4 linked regions of the Rattus norvegicus genome follow. The protein of the gene in region 1 purifies or fractionates together with the protein of each later gene. This does not show direct contact. Links are inferred from orthologs where the notes say so. Each region holds a gene or a part of one and is shown on either strand. Other genes may lie near its edges. The genes, in order: Med12, Vdr, Cdk19 and Med9.

Region 1 (5,543 bases):
GAAGGCATCAGAGCCTCAGGCACTGGAGTTACAGACCATCGTTAGCCATCATATGGATGCTTGGAAATGACCCTTGGTCCTCTGGAAGAACAGGCAGTGCTCCTAATCCCCGAGCAATCTCTGCAGCTCCTCTTTTTAAAATTATTTATTTATTGAGACAGGGTCTTACTGTGTTTCTCTGGCTGTTCTGGAACTTGAAGAGATTGCCTGCTTCTGTCACATGGTGCTGGTGTTAATGCCCTTTGCCACTAAGCCTGAGAAAGATTCTCTTGTATATTTGTTTGTTTGTTTGTTATCTGTGTGTACACGGAGGTCAGAGGACAGTTTGCAAGAGTCAGTTCTCTGCTTTCATCGTGTGAAACCAGAGAATTCTATTCTGGTAAAAGGTACAATGGCAAGTAAACGTCTTCTGCCTTCTGGGGGGCCCTCTTGTGAAGGTTCTTAACTTGGAGTTCATGTATGCAACACTTCATGATAGAAAGTATCTGACAATTTGTATGATTACTATTCTGTGAAGAAGATCCCTATTTCTTCCTTTTCCTCCTCTTCCTCCTCCTTCCTGGAAGAGCCTGGTAGCTTTAGGGGGCAGGTGGCTCTCTGGGCTTTCTGTGAGTTCTGGGACAGTGTGGGCTATATGGGAAGTTCCAGGCTACCTCTGGTCACATGGTGAGATGACCCTGTCTCAGAAAAGAGAGGTGTGTGTGTGTGTGTGTGTGTGTGTGTGTGTGTGTGTGGACACATGTGCACATGCGTGCACCACACTATGTAATTTGGGCTGAAAGTGAACCTGTTATCTTCCTATGTACTGAGTTGTGGGTATTACAGGTGTGTAACACATATACTAAGTTTCGATGGCTTCCCCAAACCCTTTGGTCCTTTTGAGACAGGGTATGTGTCAGTCACTGTGTTGCTCTGTATGACCATCTGACTCAGATGACACACGGGTATTTTTTCTTTGTTCTTTTCCCTTCAGAGCTGAGGACAGATCCCAGGGTCTTGTGTTTGCTAAGCAAGCGCTCTACCACTGAACTAAAGCCCCAACCCCTGTTTTTGTTTTTGTTTTTTTTTTGTTTTTTGTTTTTTGTTTTTTGAGACAGGGGCTCTATGTAGTCCTGGCTGTCCTGGAGCTCAATGTGTAGACCATGCTGACCTCAAAACTCAGAGATTCTCGTGCTTCTGCCTGTCTAGTGCTAGGACTAAAGGTGTTTGCCATCAAAATGGTTATTTGTCTCAACAAATGGGTTTGTTGAGACAGGGTAACAGTTCATATATAGACTTGACTGTCCTGGAAGTCATTGTGTGAACCAGGCTGGCCTGTAATTAACAGAGATCTGCTTTCTTCTGTTGGGACTAAAGGTGTGCATCACCAGGTAAAGTGTTAACAAGAACAACAACAAAGGATTAGAGGTTTTGGTGCAGAGGGGCTGTAACCACCTGCAGAGATTAAAAGAAAGCGCTACAGTTTTATTGCTGCTGTCTTTTGTTTGTGAGACAGGCGCTTCACAGAGATCCGCCTGTCTCTGCCGCCTGTCTCTGCCGCCTGTCTCTGCCTCTGCTGGGATTAAAGGCATGTGCCTGGCTAGACCGGATCTTTTGTATCAGTCCAAAGGTGTTTTCTTAAAACAATAGAAGTTGCTAATCTTTACAACTGTCCTCAGTAGGAAGTTTAGCATGCCCATTATCCAGATGTGGGAACTAAGAAACGAAGTGATTTTAAGAGATGCAGTTATTAACTACACTAAAAATTCCTGACCACTTATCAGGCCAAGAACTGAGCGAAGCAACGGGAACACAGTTCCAACTAGAGCTCAGCGCTCCGGTTGCTTCCCCTATTTCAGGTCTGCGCCTCCAGCACCAGCCATGCCCGTGCATTTTTAGTGTGTGAAATTGACTTTCCCTCCTAGGGCCCAAAGCTCCCGGGCTGTGGGGCTCCGCCCCGCGCTAGCGAGGCCCCACCTACTCTGCAGTCAGTATTGTCCGACGGTACCCAGCGTCCCTCGGCAGTTTCCGGCAGTAATCGAGAGTTTCTAACGTGCCCCGCCTCCGCCACCCCCCTTCTCTCGGCCTCGGTCCTCTCTACCGCCTCCCGGCTTGCTGTCCCCGTGCTCCCTCCCGTCCTCGGCCCTCCGCCCCTTCCCTCCCCACCTCGCCTGGCCCTGCAGGCGCCTCAGGCGGTACGGGCTGGGCAAGATGGCGGCTTTCGGGATCTTGAGCTATGAACACCGACCCCTGAAGCGGCTGCGGCTGGGGCCTCCCGATGTGTACCCTCAAGATCCCAAACAGAAGGAGGTGCGTTCACAATTCCCGGTTCCCGCGGGGTCCGGGCAGGTGTTTAGTGTGGGAAGAGACACTGACAGTTGAGGGAAGGGGGGGTAAGGTTAGGTGAGAGCAAAAGTCCCAACTGGGGGAAGAGTAGAGTGGACTGGTGCCCTGCCGGAGAGTAGGGTCTGCCAGCAGTTCCGGTTGAGGAGCTCGTGGTTCAGGAGCCATGCCAGGGGTGCCCCCCTCCACACTCACTCGGGCGCTCATACACAAACCTCAGAAAGTTGTTAGGGCCAGCTTGGTGAGGTGCCTGTAAGGGAAGAGTGATGTCGGGGTTGCTCTGGGGAATGTGGAAATCTCATTGACTGTGGGGGTGAGGGTGGGGTCCAAATGAACATAAGGGCTGGGCTTTAAATAACCTCTTCTACTCAGAATCCTCTTCCTCCCTTTCTCCCTTGTTACCTTTTTCTCTGCCCTCTCCTACAACCTCTAATATAAGGCAAATGAGGGTTAGCTAAAATGCTGTTTTTCTGCCTCAGGATGAACTGACGGCTTTGAATGTAAAACAAGGTTTCAATAACCAGCCTGCTGTCTCTGGGGATGAACATGGCAGTGCCAAGAACGTCAACTTCAATCCTGCCAAGGTGAGACAACCCTGCCAGGCTGAAGGAAAAGGCTGGAAGAATCTGAGAAGGAGCAAAAGCTCTGGGTTGGGCAGACTGAAAGGGATAACCTAAATGGCAGAGTGTGTAACCCAGTGCTACCACATTGGCATTTTCACATGAGAAGCAGGACTACCTGCCTGCCTGTTCTTACTACCCTGAGATATACTGTTCTCCCTTTAGATCAGTTCCAACTTCAGCAGCATCATCGCAGAGAAGTTAAGGTGTAATACTCTCTCTGACACTGGTCGAAGGAAGTCCCTAATGAACCAGAAGGACAACTTCTGGCTGGTGACTGCAAGATCTCAGAGTGCTATTAACACCTGGTTCACTGACCTAGCTGGCACCAAACCACTCACACACCTAGCCAAAAAGGTGAGGTACTGTTTTCCCGTTCTTAAGGTCAAGGTAGTGTCTACCTATATTCTGAGATTAAGCTACATGGTGTCAGCTCCCTCGGGTACTTAGAGACCTTGCTGTTTATGATGCCCATCCAGGTCCCCATTTTCAGTAAGAAGGAAGAAGTATTTGGGTACTTGGCCAAATACACAGTGCCTGTGATGCGGGCTGCTTGGCTCATTAAGATGACCTGCGCCTACTATGCAGCAATGTCTGAGACTAAGGTTAAGAAGAAAAACACCGCTGACCCCTTCACTGGTAAGTAACTGTACACCCGGTGTACCACTGATGGCTTCGAGGGACGATGGAGCCCTAGAATAAATCTTCTCCCTAGTCTAGTCCCTGTTTCTGCATGAAGTTTGCATTCACAAGATTGGTAAGAACAAACTAATTTGACTATCTGATGTGTTCAGGTACTGGGTTATAAAGATGACCAGCATATAATTTCTACTCTTTAGATCCTACTGAAGATGCTAAGGCATATGGAGCATAATTAAATATAGAAAATGGTAAATGCCAAAAGAGTAGACAGGTGGTTCTTTGAGACTTCACTGGACATAATGATTACTTGCTTTAAGGAGGTGACATTTATCTATAGGCTGGGAGGATGAATAGAGCTAAGAACTCCGGTGATTGTGGGTGAAGGTAGGGGAGAGAGTATTCTTAGCCTAAGAATAGTACCATATAGTTCCCTTTCCATATTTTCTTTAGAATGGACTCAAATCATCACAAAGTACTTATGGGAGCAGCTACAGAAGATGGCTGAATACTATCGGCCAGGGCCTGCAGGAAGTGGAGTCTGTGGTTCTGCTATAGGACCTTTGCCCCATGATGTAGAGATGGCAATCAGGCAGTGGGACTACAATGAGAAGCTCGCCCTCTTCATGTTTCAGGTAGGAGAAAGGGCATGTTGTACATGGCATTGAGTTGCACCTTATCCTGTCCTGTTGGTATAGAACGGAATTTGCCTTTTACCTTGGCCCTGGTGTGGCTCTCTTCATTCTTCCATTTACTTTATCTGCCTTACCTCTAATAGTTCCCTGCTATCCATAGGATGGAATGCTGGACAGACATGAGTTCCTGACTTGGGTGCTTGAGTGTTTTGAGAAAATACGCCCTGGAGAAGATGAATTGCTTAAATTGCTGCTTCCCCTACTGCTTCGAGTAAGACCTATACCTAAGGAGGGACTGTTTAGAGGGTTTGAGAAAGAATCAGATATCAGAACAGTGTCTTTTGGAGAAAACTAGTGGTCTTTATTGGTCACCTCTTTACAGTACTCAGGGGAGTTCGTTCAGTCTGCCTATCTGTCCCGCCGCCTTGCCTACTTCTGTACCCGGAGATTGGCTCTACAGCTGGATGGTGTGAACAGCCACTCATCTCACGTTATATCGGCTCAGTCAACGAGTTCTCTGCCCACTACCCCAGCACCTCAACCCCCAACTAGCAATACACCCTCGACTCCCTTTAGTGACCTGCTTATGTGCCCTCAGCACCGTCCCTTGGTTTTTGGCCTCAGCTGTATCCTTCAGGTAGGTACTAAAGGGCCCAAGGAAGTATAAAGAATTGACTGCTCATCCTGGAGAATGGGGGTGAGTTCAACTTGGAGGTGGGAGCAGGCACTGAGTACCTGTTCAAGAATTAGTGTTTCTCTGTAATAGGATGCTCCCTTTTAGAGATTTTGGACATTCTCTTCCAGGACTAAGTAGTCGGCCCAAAGCTTTTTAGAAAGTGCATGAGAATCTGGGTATGATAGTGTTATGCCTGTAGTCCCAGAACTTGGAAAGAAGAGGCAGGAGGATTATAAGTTCAAAGTCAGCCTAAGCTACACAGCCAAATGAAACCTTGTCTCAAGATACTATTTTTTAAAAAAGGAGGAAGGTAAGGAAGAGAGGGGTCAGGAATGATACTTGCTCCAAGGACTTAGTTGTAATAAACCTAATTGAGATGTCAAACCTAAAGGAAAGTGGGTCTTAAGTAGGGATGTAGAGAGGTAGCAGTGGTAACTGGGTTTGATTTATTTATTTGTCTGGCAGACCATCCTCCTGTGTTGCCCTAGTGCCCTAGTTTGGCACTACTCATTGACTGATAGCCGAATTAAGACTGGCTCACCACTTGACCACCTGCCTATTGCTCCTTCCAACTTGCCTATGCCAGAGGGTAACAGTGCCTTTACTCAGCAGGTAAGTTTAACTGCTGAACTGTTACTGCACAGCTGGGAT
Region 2 (4,119 bases), on another chromosome or scaffold:
AAAACACCTGATCTAATGACTCTAAAACAAAGCCTTCCCTGTGCTGTTCCGCAGAACGGGAGAGCCGTTTTCAGATGTTTCCCACTGGAATTCTGGGAAACATAGGGCCAGGCGGACACTAATGGCTCTTTCCATGTTAAATTTGTCATCTCGGGGTTTTCAGGGAATGGAAAAATGTAGCTAGGACACATGCGGGGCTCGTGGGGCCCTGTTCCCACTGACCTTAGCCCTCTCTTGGTGCTTCCAACGTGGCTGCATTCCTCAGGTCAAGCATTCACTTGAAGGACCGTCTATGAGTCCCCCTGTGAAAAGAACCTCCTCTGTATGGGTCCCCCGCATCCACAACCCATGATCAGCAATGTGTGTATTTGGGGTGAGTGAGACCAGGGTTCCAAAGTCCTGGATTGCTACAGAGGAAGAAATTAAAGATAAGAACCTAGCCCATCACCTGGCCATTTCGTAGGCCTACATTGACTTTTTGGGTGGTAGAATGAGAGTCAGGAGGAACCGGCCCCAGATCACTGTACCACAAGCTCTGACCATCCCTCCACCTTTCCCCTGAGGGGGGAGCATTTGTATCTGGCCTTACATCTGGAAAGGAGGCTCGGAGGCCCATTTGGGCAGCTGTTGGTCTTCTCCCATCCCATTCTATTGGGCGGACAAGGTAGCTCTCATTGGTGTGTGTGTGTGTGGGGGGCACTGCTGCCAAGATGACTCCCGGGATACTCCTGGTGGTCAAATTGGGAGGTCGTGTGAGGCCAGAGGACCTGCTTTCTTGGGTAGGTGGTAAAACACTGGCGGGGTAAGGGATGGAGACAGGGCTATGGATTTCCTGAAAGTTGGGGACAACTTGGTCCTGACACATCTAATAGCTATAGAGGAGAGGTCCCAACAGCTCCAGGCTTCAGAACCCTCAGCTTGATGACCAAGATAGATGGACCTTCATTCATTGTTCTGCTGGGAGGCTGACTTTCTCTGTTCTTCATTACTTGGGCCCTGTATTCTATCTCCTGGGGCCTTTCCAATGGTGGTTTCTAGGTCCCTGGTTCTGGGCATGGGGAAGAAGCCCCCTGTACCACAGGTACTGGCCCTGGGGAATTCCCATGGCAAAACCTCAAAGGTGGGAACTGCAGGGCTGGGTGAGTGCTCCTTGGTTCGTGTGGTAGTGTATTTGGTCATCTTGGCAGTGAGTGAGCCCCGTGAGTATAAAGGCAGAGGAAGGAGGCCCCTCAGTGACCTACTCCCCCGGGTCAGAATAACACAGACAGGCGGCAGGATGAGACGGGACACAGTAGGGATGATGGGTAGGTTGTGTACCCTTCGCAGGCAGGGGCCAGATTTCTCACCAGGCTTTGGGCAGGTAGGGCTGGAGTGAGGGGAGGTGCAGGTACCTGTCCCTGAGGAGTGAATGCGTCTCTTCTGCCTGCCTCCCTTGACACAAGCAGCAGCCCCTTGTGGTGGAGGCATCCCCTAGGCAGAGTTCTGCCTTCAGCCCCTGCCCTCTATCCCCAATTGAGTTCCTTTGTCAGATAAACAGCAGCCTCTCCTAACTGAGGTCTCAAGAGACAGGAGCAACTCGAGGTCTACAGGAAAGGGAGACCAGGTGTTAGGCTGGGCAGGAGAAAGGATGAGGCAGACAGACAGAGGCCATGGCAGAGGAAGGACTGAACTCCAGAAAGGGCAGGAGGCACTGCTGGGCTGCAACCAGCCCAGGGCCTGGGCACAGGGCTCTGGAGGAGCGGCCCTACCCAGGCACCACTGTGGGCCACCCTGGTCAGGAGATCTCATTGCCGAACACCTCCAGCACAAGGGGTGTGAGCTTCATGCTATTCTCGGGCTGGAAGGAGAGGGAGCGGTATTGTTTGGAGTGTTCCTCGTTGAGGCTCCGCAGGTCGGCCAGTTTCTGGATCATCTTGGCATAGAGCTGGTGGCTGCCTGGGGGCGGGTGGCGGCAGCGGATGTAGGTCTGCAGCGTGTTGGATAGGCGGTCCTGAATGGCTTCCACCAGCTTGGCGTCCTGGACCCCAGGTCGGTCTGTGTCCCAGGGGATGGAGGGAGACAGGATGTTCACTGTTCAGTTTCACAGAATCCACCATCACCCAGGTACCCCATGCCAGCATCCCCCTGATGACATCCCCTGCATTTGGGACCAAATCCTTTCGCGGGCTCATTTGGTCCTGTTCCCACCTCACCCTACTTCTTCTGTCTCTAGGTTCAGTCCTTGCTTTGGAACTCAGGTACTTCCTACTCTGGCTAACAGACCTCCCCGTTGCCTGGAAATCAGCTCTCGTCTTTCCCCCCTGACCAACCGGTTATCACGGAACAGGCGCAAAGCGCTTTCTGAAGAAGGTCGTTCCTGGTAACCCTCCATCTCCACGCCCCCGTGACCTATACCAGGATCTCTCCGGCAGCATCTTCATATTCAACATTCTCGTAATATTTTGTTTTCCTTTAACTCTCATGGGAGAGAAGTCTATCCTTTTTACTGCAACTCCCTGTGCCTAGCCCAGTGTCTGGCCATAGTAGATGCTCAGTTAATCATTACTGAGCGTGTGAATAAGTGAACACACGTCAGCTAGACAGCAGGAGGGAGGCATATGTCTGTCCTTTGGGCCTTCAGACTAGGCATTCCTGGCCATAGGCCACTAGTTTGTCCCCTGTGCACACATGGTCCAGGCTGAGTCAGGGCTCTGTTCTTTGGGTTTTATCACCAATTTCTTCAAGATCACAACAACTTCCTTCTCAGTGTCTCCTCCCTTTGGGTTACAGCCTCCAGCCTCCAAAGTCAACTCAGGCAGAAGCATATATTAGTCCCCAAGGATTTGTGCCTGCATCGGAGGAACTCAGGAGACTGGAAAGTTCATCCGAGGTCACGCAAGAACAGAGCCTGAGTATTAGGAACACCCAAGTCCCATGAATAAGCTGTGGAACCCTGCTCATCTGGTTCCTCAGAATCCTATGAATCACCTTGGCCTGCATAAGACAAAGCCACATGTGTCAAGCGACCCCTCCACAGGCCTTCTGGGCTGTGCAAACCCAGCAAAGTGAACATTTCCTTGTCACTTCTCTCGTTCATTCCTCCCCCAGACTTCCCTGCTGGCTCTGAGAAGCTCTCTGTCATTCACAGTCCCCAACGTGTCCCAGGTCCCTCAGCTCCTCCCTGCCAGGCTCCGTACCCGGGGAGACAATGCAGATGGCCATGAGAAGGACATGCTCTTCCTCATGTAAGTTCAGCTTCTTCAGCCCCACCTGGAACTTTATGAGGGGCTCGATCAGCTCCAGGGTGTGCCCAGCTGTGAAAGAGAGCAGCCAGGGTCAGGTAGAGACATTCACCCCTACCTGAAACCCCCCCTGGGCATTACCCCTTCCCTCCTCTCTCTTGCTGCCCACTCCCCTTCCCCGTATCTGGTCAAACCCCCAGAGGTCCAGTGCCAGGATAGAGGTAGAGTCTGGGAGCTGGAGGAAGTATAGGAGGACGCCCTCCACACCTTTGGAGACATCGGTGACGTCGTACTTGTAGTCCTGGCTGCCACAGTCCCAGGACATATCATCCATGGTGAAAGACTGGTTGGAGCGTAACATGATCACCTCAATGGCGCTTGACTTAAGCAGGACAATCTGGTCATCGGAGGTGAGATCCCTGTCAGGGAAGGCAGGCGGGGAGAAGTCAGGTAATCAGTTCACGTCACGGGCCCTCGGTTAGTTTTTTTGGGCAGGACTGAACCGGCTGGCTGACCAGCATGTGTTTGGCTCTTCCGTCAAGGGGTTCCAGCCTGGCTAGAACAGGAAAGAAGGTATCTGGAGGGAGAGAACCCAGGGCTGTCCCAGTAGCTCGGTGACAGATAGCCAAAGCTATCCCGGACAGGGAGGGACAGCTAAAGGAAGCTCCCTGGGTTGTAGCACACAACACAGGCTTGCAAAAGGTGTAGCCAGAGCTGCTGTCAACACCTTCTGTGTTTCCAGTTGTCTAGTCCTCCTCAGTAGCAACCTTAGACATTTCTGTCCCCAGGACACCTCCTGAGCCCTTGACTTCTTCAGAGTTCCATCGTGTTTTTTGGTTTGCGTGTATGTGTATGTTCTGAGGCCAGAGGTTGATCTCCAATGTTTTCGATTGAACAT
Region 3 (5,025 bases), on another chromosome or scaffold:
CCATCTCATCGGACACTTCCACATGCACTGTATTTTAGAAAGCAGTCAGCCGTGTTTGGGTTACATGCCTGGTCTACATTAGTGATTATGTGGAAAGCAGCAGTAAAGTTCATTCAGTAGAATGGAATTGTAGTCATTTCCCTCTTGCCTTAGCTTCCTTTGACAGGGAATTGAACACAATTACAAGACGGAGTCGGGCATGGCAGCACACTTGGGAGGCAGAGGCCAGCCAGACCTCCACAGTGAGGCCCTGTCTCCACAAACAAACAAACAAACAAACTTTTAAAACTTGGAGAGACTAAGGAGAGAAACATAAGCTTTGCCTTTGATATAACATGCTTTTCAGTGGGCAGAACAGGGTCGCACCATGCATTTCCGTCTTCATACTTCACCAACAGTGGCAACAATTAGCTACTCTCCTTATATCAAACAGTGTTCTCTCTCAGTGTTGTATAATAATAAAAATAGATGTAAAGTTGGTAAAACTATTGACTGTTTCTGTTATCACTAGAGAAATTTAGTTTTTAAGGGGTAGGCATTAGCACCGATTTCCTTGGTTAGCTTTCTTTTTAAGAGCTCAATACTCCAAAGCAGCTTCATGAAGCATTATAAATTATTCAAACTCTAAAGAAACAACATAGTCAGTTATAATTTAATGCATAGGTACTTAGTCTCAGATTAGATGATCAATTATAGTTACCTGCATTTGGGTCCCTTAAACATTCAAGATGTACTGTGTATATTATTACATTATATATTTTAAATTATAGAGATTTATCATTCTTGTGACTCTGCCTTGGTAATTTGTAATTGCCATGTGTATAACTTCTTGGCTGTCAATCAGTATTTGAAAGTCTAGGTACTAGAGGGGTTGGCTGGTGCCTTAGTTTAAGCGCCTGCACACAGGCATGGAAGACTTGCATTCAGACCCCAGCACACACATTCAAAGTAGTTAGAGTTAGGGGGTCTGCGGTTGGAAACAGAATTCTGGAACTTGTTGGCCAGCCAGCCAAACCACTGTAGAAGTGTTGAGTTCCGGGAGAGTTCAGTATGACTAACCTTTGCCTGGGGAAACACTACACACTCACCACGGATAGGGAACTCATGACAGAGTAAAGTACAATGCCACCAGAGATTAACTTCATCTCATTGGTTACTTAGCAGAATGGATGAGGGGTTGCTTATAGGAGCAGAAATGATCAAAGACAGATACATCATCAAAGCACACCTCAGTACAGGTAACAGCTCAAAAAAGCTGGAACCTGGAGCACACTGTGTAGCCTACAGGCAACTCAGTAGGTTGAGTATCCTTTCCAAGTGACTCAGTTGGTCTAAACTTCTCTCAGGCAAGTGGGCTTGTCTCTCCTTCCTCCAAGCAGCTGGTCTGGTCTCAGTCTCTTCTTTGCCCCTTTGCCTGTCTGTGACCTCAGCAGTTGTAATAGTTTATCCTTGGGAGGGAGGGGCCTAGTAAATCTGATCAGTTTTAGGGACTTCCTGAAGCTATTTTGAGTTGTTTCCCTTCTGGTTTAAGGAACTTCCCTGCTGGGGTATATATTGTTTCAATTTCTGAGGAAATGGCTAGACACTTTTTAATATGGGAAAACACCTAATGTCACCCCCCCCCACACACACACTTATCCATACTTTTAATAAATCCCAGTACTCAGGAGGCAGAGGCAGGTGGATCTCTGTGAGTTCCAGGCCAGCATGGTCTATAGAGTGAGTTATAGGCCTGTTACACAGAGAAATCAAAAAAACAAAAACAAAACTCAAAGTACACACACAAAAAAAATAGGGCTGTTAAATCAAACCATGTTTTTTTAAGTTCGATGTCTTACTATTCTTGTACAAATAATTCAACTGTGCTTTGGCTTTAGGTTCTTCACCTCAGACATGAGAAGCAAAGTACTAAGCTATGATGAAAATGCAAGGACGCTGTATGCTGTGTATAAATGCCATTTGTAAATTATAAACAAATATAAAATACTTCTTTATGAAATCATAACAAAGATCTCTAGAACCTCATAGTGTCAGTTTTCTATACCCCTAATGCCTAAGTTAGCTTTCATTTACATCTTTATTCAATGAATCACTATAGCAATTATGAATTATGTATTTTGTAGCAATTATTTATTATCTTTTATGCCTGTTTTCAGGATTGTGTACAATGTGCTGTTATAATCAACTTTCTAGGGGAAAGGTCACAATATGGCATTTTATGTTCTAGCACATACTGAACTGAGTGATGTGTAGTCAGTCTCAGGCCGGCAGGTGCACGGTCTCAGACGGGCAGGTGCACAGTCTCAGGTGGGCAGGTGCAAGTCTCAGGCGGGCAGGTGCACAGTCTCAGGCAGGCAGGTGCATCAGCTAAAGAAGGAGACTCAGTCCTAACTGCTCCCAAGAGCCAGGGATTTAAGGCTCAGGCTTAGGTCCTGCTTCTGACTCTGAACTTAAATCTTCACTCTCAGGAAGTCAATACTTTTAAACTTTAGTGTCTTGATAAGTAAATAAAGTTGACAGGATAGAAGACTCTTATCTTAATACAGATAAACAGTTCCTAACCAGCATGTAGTTTCAGAGGAAAAGTTTGCTTTGAAAAAATTAAAGGCATGGCTCTGATAGTATGTCAAACTGAGTTTTATATATTTGTTTTATTTTTCAGCTGACATGGGTTTTGCCAGATTATTCAATTCTCCTCTAAAGCCACTTGCAGATTTGGATCCAGTAGTCGTGACATTTTGGTATCGGGCTCCAGAACTTTTACTCGGTGCCAGGCATTACACAAAGGCCATCGGTAAGTGTCGCCTGCTCATGACTGTGAAGTCGTTCATAATAAAGCCGGTGCTGTGGAGAGAACATGCCCTTCTTCTTTGCTGGATGCTCCATAGCATATTGATCTGAGGAGTGGGGGCGTGAGTGAGAACTGTCACACAAAGGGAGATAGGGCAGGAGTGTTGTGCTGGAGAAAAGATTGTTTCCCAGTGTTGTAACCAAGACCTGGTACAGCCTGCCACCTCCCTTGCTGCTGTGGTCTGCAGACTGGCAGTCGGTCCAGCACAGCAGGAAGTACAGTAAGGAGGATGGCTGTGCTTGGCAGCTTGCCGGACACCAAGGAGAAGGAACTAGAGAAAAGCAGCTGTAAGCACGCGTTAGGGTTTAGTGGTCTTCCTTACAGCAGGCGCTCTGGAGACTTTCTTTTCTGAGGGCTGAAAAGCCTCAGCTGTAGGTAGGGAGCCAGGAGGCAAGATTCTCCCTCAGCTCTGGACATTTCCGTACATCAAAGAAAAAGAGAGAGCAAGGGGGAACAAACAGTAGCCGCAAGAAGGACAAGGCCTGGAAATTAATTAATTAATTAATAAGGGGAAGTGGGGGTGGGGGGAGAGAAGGACTGGGCTTCTAGTGCTTTACTTATGGGGACTTCCCTGCACATATGTAGCCAATTTTTTTTCTGCTAAGATTGTTTTCCATTGTATCTTCATTACTTTTCAATTGCTGTGAGAAAAACACCCTGGCTGTGCAACTATCAGAGAAAGAATTTAATTTGGTCACAGTTCCAGAGAGAGTTCGTGGCTGTCATGGTGTGGGGAGTGTTGTAACAGGCAGAAGACACAGTCAGGTGGAGGCAGAGAGAACTAACTGGGAATGGGGAATGGCATTCATTGGAAACCTCAAAAAGCCCACACACTGACACACTCTTTCCTACAAGGCCACACCTCCTCATCCTTCCCAAACAGTTCTACCCACTGGGGACCAAGCATTCAAATGTGAGCCTATGAGGTTATTTTCATTCAAGGTGCCATACCCACCACAGTCGATTACACATACAGTAAGTCCATGGTAAGCCAGCCTCTCACGTGCTTTTCCAGGCAGTTCTGTGTGCCCTACACACTGGAGAGCACTTTTTGAGAAGCACAATTGTAGGAAAATAGATGTGGTGGCTTGTTGCTCTTTATTTGTTTATAATAAATGTAATTGGAGTAAGTTTGAATTCAGCTATTTTTCCATGAGTAAGGAAAATTGACACTGAATTTTGTCCAACTTGCAACTCATTTGCTCGCCCAGGTAGTGAGGTTTAGCTTATGACATAAAAACTTAGGTCCTTGCCAGGTGCCAAGGAATGCTAGTACTTGGGAGGACACTGATGCAAGAAGGCTGTGTGTGAGCTCAGGGCCAGCCTGAGCTACACAGGGAGATCTCAAACTGTAGATCATCTCCAAATTAAGTCATAATATAGCCAAAGTCCTAATTATCCATTCACAGTAGAAGTTAGGGAAATTCTTAAGATAGGGAAAATGTTTGGGTTTATATTTTAAGATAGGGATATCTTTGGGTTTAAAATATATTCATAAGAACATATGAATGCATATTCACTCCTTCTCACCTTTCTCCATACCTGGTCACGTCAGAAACAAGTGTAAGTGACGTAAGAACTAGATAGGAGTACAGATTATAAAATAATGTTTACAGGAAACAGCTTCACACTGCCTGCTTTTCTGAGGTTCTTTATGCTAAATTTGTGAGGAAATCTACATTTTGCTTTTTGTCCTTTGAATAATTGGGATTTGATATGACTAGCAACATACAATACAGTCCTGACTGACAACATTAAAAACATCGAGGAGGAAGAAAGCTGATCGAGCCATTAGGGACAAGAGTGACAGAGGAAGACAGGGAAGGGTTAAAAGTAGCTGCAGGACGTTACCATACGGTGCTGATGGACATCCCTGATGATGGCGCCTTGGCCACATCACTAAGGAAGGTTAGGTTATGTTTTCTAGCCGATTATGATGGTGAGTATGGTGTGGTAGGCAGTGGTTACTGCAGGTCGTGACCCATTACCCAGAAAGCCCATGTCTGTGAAGGGACGCATCTGAATGGACAGAGAAGAGAGACATTACAGCATGGCTTCTCTTGGCAGGGTGGTTTACAACAGAGCATACTGACGTTTGTTGTAGTTAATGAATATAATTAAACCATCTGATTACTTAGTTTATCTTCAGGATGTGTTTGGCATTGTGGTACACT
Region 4 (4,155 bases), on another chromosome or scaffold:
AGAGCTGTGGTAGAGGAGAACCCGCGTCTGCTGAGAATGTTCCAGTGACTTGTAGCTGGTTTAAAATGTATGGAGTTCGTTCGTCTTTCTGTTAACAGGCCCAAGCAAGCACACAACTCAGTGCCATGAAGGCCCTGCTAACTGGCAGAGCCTCCTGGTTGGCCTACAGATGGCTCAGGTCAGGTGAAATGAGTATTTCAACAGCTTGTTTATTTTTCTGTTTTTGGAAGGGTCAGCTGATGATTGGTAATGGTGATTCGTTTAGCATAGCTGTGGCCTTGCTTTCCAAGCACTCGTCCTTTTGATGTGTGGTGTTCTGGAAATGCTATTTGGTTTGCGTGTGCACACCTGGGAGTGGTGGAACAGGCAGAGGCGGGCACTTGTGCCCAGCGTTATCATTTGTCCCCTTGTTCCCTTGCACGGAACCTGAGACTTGCTGTTTCAGCCTGTTTCTACACCCCCATCCCATCCCAAGGCTGAGCTGGGTTTATATCACGTGTGTCCCTGCTTTTACATGAATGGTGGAGCTCCAAACTCGGGTTGTCATACTTGTGCAAGTGCTCTTTACCCACAGTTGTCCTATGTGTAGGGCCAGGTTGGTGAGACAGCTGTGACGAAGCCAAGTTGGTCCCTGCCATCATCGAGAATTTTAAGTATCTGACTTGTCAGGTGTGCTCATTGGGAGTGTTTTTATGAGCTTAAAGCTAAAGAACAAAACAAATAAAAGACCAATCCCTGTCTTCTGGGGTAGGTAACCTAGTAAGGGAACAGACATGTCTGACAACATTCTAAAAGTCATCAGAGGTGTAGAACAAGGAAGCCATTGTGGAAATGAGCTACACATGCTAATAACTGACTGACTGCCCTCTACTCCCCCTGTCACCCAGCATGGACAAGGACAGCCCGGATCTCCACCAGGACCTGAACGCCCTCAAAACAAAGTTCCAGGAGATGCGGAAGCTCATAGGCACCATGCCTGGCATCCATGTGAGCCCTGAGCAGCAACAGCAGCAGCTACACAGCCTCCGAGAGCAAGTCAGGACCAAGAATGAGCTTCTGCAGAAGTACAAGAGCCTCTGCATGTTTGAGATCCCCAAGGAGTAGGACCAGCTCCTAGCAAAGCTGCCAACAGACTGAAAGCGTCACACTGTGCTGTCCAGCTCCTTGGGAGCCCAGCTCTAAACTGTGAGGCCACATGTGGCTGGTGTGGGGCCTGGGTGGCTCTACTCAGCCTCCACTCTCTATGCCTTGGGCCTCATCAGAGGGAGAGGGGGTAGCTGTTCCCTTCCTCCCTGAGCTCCTCCCACTCCCACTATCAGCATGGCATCAGGTACATACTGTTCCCATCAACAGCAGTTTCATGAAGCATTTGCATAGAATTCACGGGGTAAATTAGGCCTGCACTCAGATGGCATGGATTTATTATAATTAAAGAAGGCTGTGAGAGTATGAATATTGTGTTGAAAGGCCAGAGGGTGGGTGGCTTCTCCCCCAAAACAGTTCACTTCCTTTTTTGTTTGAACAACTGAATGAAACTGTATCTCTGGGGGCGTCAGCCCAGAGCTCTGCCAACCAGCCTCCAGCTTCAGTCGCTGGCCTCCTGCATCTCGCCTCACCTTGTAGGCTCGGCTGCCTTTGTCTCCATCACTTCAGGCAGTGCTCAGAATAGCCAGCGCACTGCTTGCCCGGGGCCCTTCGTCCTTCTTCCCATGCTGGTTCAGAGAGGCGGTTAAGTAAGCGGCTCTGCCCTGATTCATGCCTCGTCCTCTCCGCTCTCACCAAGGAGTCAGCCATACTTGCTACCCTGTACATGGTCTCTGCACACTTCTAGTTTGGAGCAGAGTTGCTGGCAGGAGCAGTTGGGGGCAGTTTCTCAGCCAGGGGATGTGTGGTTTAAAGGGCATGGGGAGCTAAGTCTGGAGGTGCCATCGCTGTGTTCTACTTGTAGAGAGTGCCCAGCGAGTCCCAGGTAGCACACTGTGTTCTCTGTCTCCCAGGGACTGTTACACTGAGGGCGCCATGGCCCTTTCCTTCTCTCAGGAGGAAGGTGAGAAGTACCCAGGATTGTTTGGATCTTGAAATGGGCACAGCCTGGGCTCAGCTTAGGACTTAGCAGGTGCCTGCCAACTGGCTTTGTTGGCGGAGTGCTGGCTGGGGTGTTGTTGGCGGAGTGCTGACTGACCGGGGTGTTTTAGCAAACGTTCTGTCTGTCCAGGACGCTTCACACTTGGGACCTGGAATGTCAGTGGTTTGGGCAGAAAAGTGGACTCTGAGTTTGAATAGAGGGTGACAATGAAGCCACCTCTGCCTTGGGGCTGTCCTTTAACCCAGTCAGTTCCTTTCTGCCAAGGCGAAGCAGTGGCTGGACCAGCTTTAAGGCTCTGCCCAGTTCCTGTAAGGGCAGAGCACGTGAAATGCAGGAGCTTCGGATCTTCCTGACAGGGAAGAAAGAAGGCTTCCTCGAAGGGCTGGAGGCTCGGAGGCTTCTCTGTTCCAGTGTGTTGACCTGTCATGTTTTCACATATGTAATTAAAAGTATGTTCTGTTCTCAGGACACATGGTTTGCCTGTTGTCTCTGTCTCTCTCAGGGCTAGCAGTCAGACCCTGGGATTGCAGGTCTTTAAAATGAAGAATTAGAGTGGTGTGTTGAGTGGGTGGTGTAGAGGCAAAAATGTTCACTGCGCTCCTCCTTCCGCCCAGCATGTACATCTGTTAAATGAGCACAAAGCCTACACGTCTCCCGCAGGGGACCCTGGGGAGCCCAGCCATTCATTGTTGAGAAGTGAGTGCCTTTCTGAGATTTGAGGAGGTACAGTTCCCTGCAAGTGGCCCTTCCCAAAGCAGGGTTGACAAGACCCTTCCTCCCCCGGTCCCAAGACAATTTTGAGCATCCCCGAAGGTCAAGACCCTGGAAAAACCAAGTATTTGGCTGGGCGGCTGCAGCAGTTGTGCTGACTCCTTGGAGACCATGTTGACCCCTGCACAGAGTGCCTCGATTTCTCAGCTGCAGAATTGGAGACTTGGAAGGCGACACTTGCCCTAAGTTGACCGTAGGAGTGGCAAGGAGATCTGGGTCACAAACTATGAGCCCTTAGCCACAGGGAGTTAGGAAGGTGCAGAGGAGGTGGGCCCCACCTGCTCGAGAGCTTCTGGGAGCTGCACTCCACCCATCTGTACTTTCCCTGTCCAGGTCCTGCGGCAGCCCTGGGGCAAGGAATGAACGTTAAGTGCAGGCCTCTTCCCTGCCACACCTCTCCACCTCAGCCTCCATGTTTGTGGTAATCAAGGTTAGCGTTTCAAGTGTGGCAGCTTTCTGTTGCCTTCTATGATGAGTAACAGATGGGCTGTGTGGAGGAGAGTATGAATATTCTCTAAAACAAGGCCCTCTGTTACAGGCCAGGCCGGGCAGAGTGTAGACAGAAAGCCAGAAGGTCCCACTTGGAAGTGGGAGACCATATTCTGAAAGCCAGGTCCTTTTCCAGTTCTTGGCCACTGCCACCGAGGCAGGAAGCCTAAAAGCAAAAGCAAAGCGAAGCACCATTTTCCATTTTAAAATTATTTTATTTTAAATTAAAAAAAATAATAAAGACCTCACACAATAGAAATGTAGAGATTTTGTTCATGTCACGTTGACACTGGAACTATTAAAGTGCAAGTTTTGTGTTTTGTTTTCCTTTTGGGTAATTACACACACACACACATGTAAACAAGTTGTCTGGCTATGATTGAACCCCCACCTCGAGCCAAAGTTTCCAGTTTGCTGAGGACAGAGGTGGCTGACAGCAGTCATGGCAACACCAATCACAGACGAGATAATGCCCTGTTAGTCCTGGCCCCACAGCAAGCCGCACAGTTACTTGAAGTCTCAGAGGCCGAAGCCCTTCACACACTCTCAAAGTCTCTGAGAAAAACGCCAACTAACCCTCTGCTGGGTCCTGGCATCCCAGAATCGGAGGCGAAAGTCCCAGTCTTAGCTAGTTCTTTCCTCTCACAGCAGATGACTGTCCCTTACTGTCTTGGCAGCATCTCCCTGGTGCACAGGGCTGGGTCTCAGGGAGGGAGGGAGGAGGCCAGCTGGCGCTCTTGGGGCACGGAGTGCACAGGTTAGCCTGGGAAACCGATTTGACTTTTGAACAAAAAAGGTCCTCAGGTTGT

The links.
Region 2: the proteins of Med12 (region 1) and Vdr purify together in Homo sapiens (affinity purification with mass spectrometry; 3 studies listed by BioGRID, with this or other methods). This does not show direct contact. The link is inferred for Rattus norvegicus from reciprocal best matches to the Homo sapiens genes MED12 and VDR.
Region 3: the proteins of Med12 (region 1) and Cdk19 purify together in Homo sapiens (affinity purification with mass spectrometry; 10 studies listed by BioGRID and IntAct, counting the BioPlex papers as one, with this or other methods). This does not show direct contact. The link is inferred for Rattus norvegicus from reciprocal best matches to the Homo sapiens genes MED12 and CDK19.
Region 4: the proteins of Med12 (region 1) and Med9 purify together in Homo sapiens (affinity purification with mass spectrometry; 6 studies listed by BioGRID and IntAct, with this or other methods). This does not show direct contact. The link is inferred for Rattus norvegicus from reciprocal best matches to the Homo sapiens genes MED12 and MED9.

What each region holds. Positions count from the first base shown.
Region 1 is NC_086039.1:70,442,641-70,448,183, forward strand, and holds the start of Med12 (mediator of RNA polymerase II transcription subunit 12), read left to right. Parts: upstream 1-2,169; 5' UTR 2,170-2,190; coding exon 2,191-2,289; intron 2,290-2,801; coding exon 2,802-2,906; intron 2,907-3,107; coding exon 3,108-3,299; intron 3,300-3,421; coding exon 3,422-3,581; intron 3,582-4,034; coding exon 4,035-4,216; intron 4,217-4,376; coding exon 4,377-4,487; intron 4,488-4,598; coding exon 4,599-4,853; intron 4,854-5,357; coding exon 5,358-5,504; intron 5,505-5,543. UniProt on the Homo sapiens protein: Component of the Mediator complex, a coactivator involved in the regulated transcription of nearly all RNA polymerase II-dependent genes.
Region 2 is NC_086025.1:130,865,972-130,870,090, forward strand, and holds the end of Vdr (vitamin D3 receptor), read right to left. Parts: intron 3,641-4,119; coding exon 3,489-3,640; intron 3,294-3,488; coding exon 3,177-3,293; exon of another isoform or gene 2,213-3,176; intron 2,035-2,212; coding exon 1,775-2,034; 3' UTR 1,099-1,774; downstream 1-1,098.
Region 3 is NC_086038.1:45,445,962-45,450,986, forward strand, and holds part of Cdk19 (cyclin-dependent kinase 19), read left to right. Parts: intron 1-2,662; coding exon 2,663-2,794; intron 2,795-5,025.
Region 4 is NC_086028.1:45,262,435-45,266,589, forward strand, and holds the end of Med9 (mediator of RNA polymerase II transcription subunit 9), read left to right. Parts: intron 1-887; coding exon 888-1,104; 3' UTR 1,105-2,554; downstream 2,555-4,155.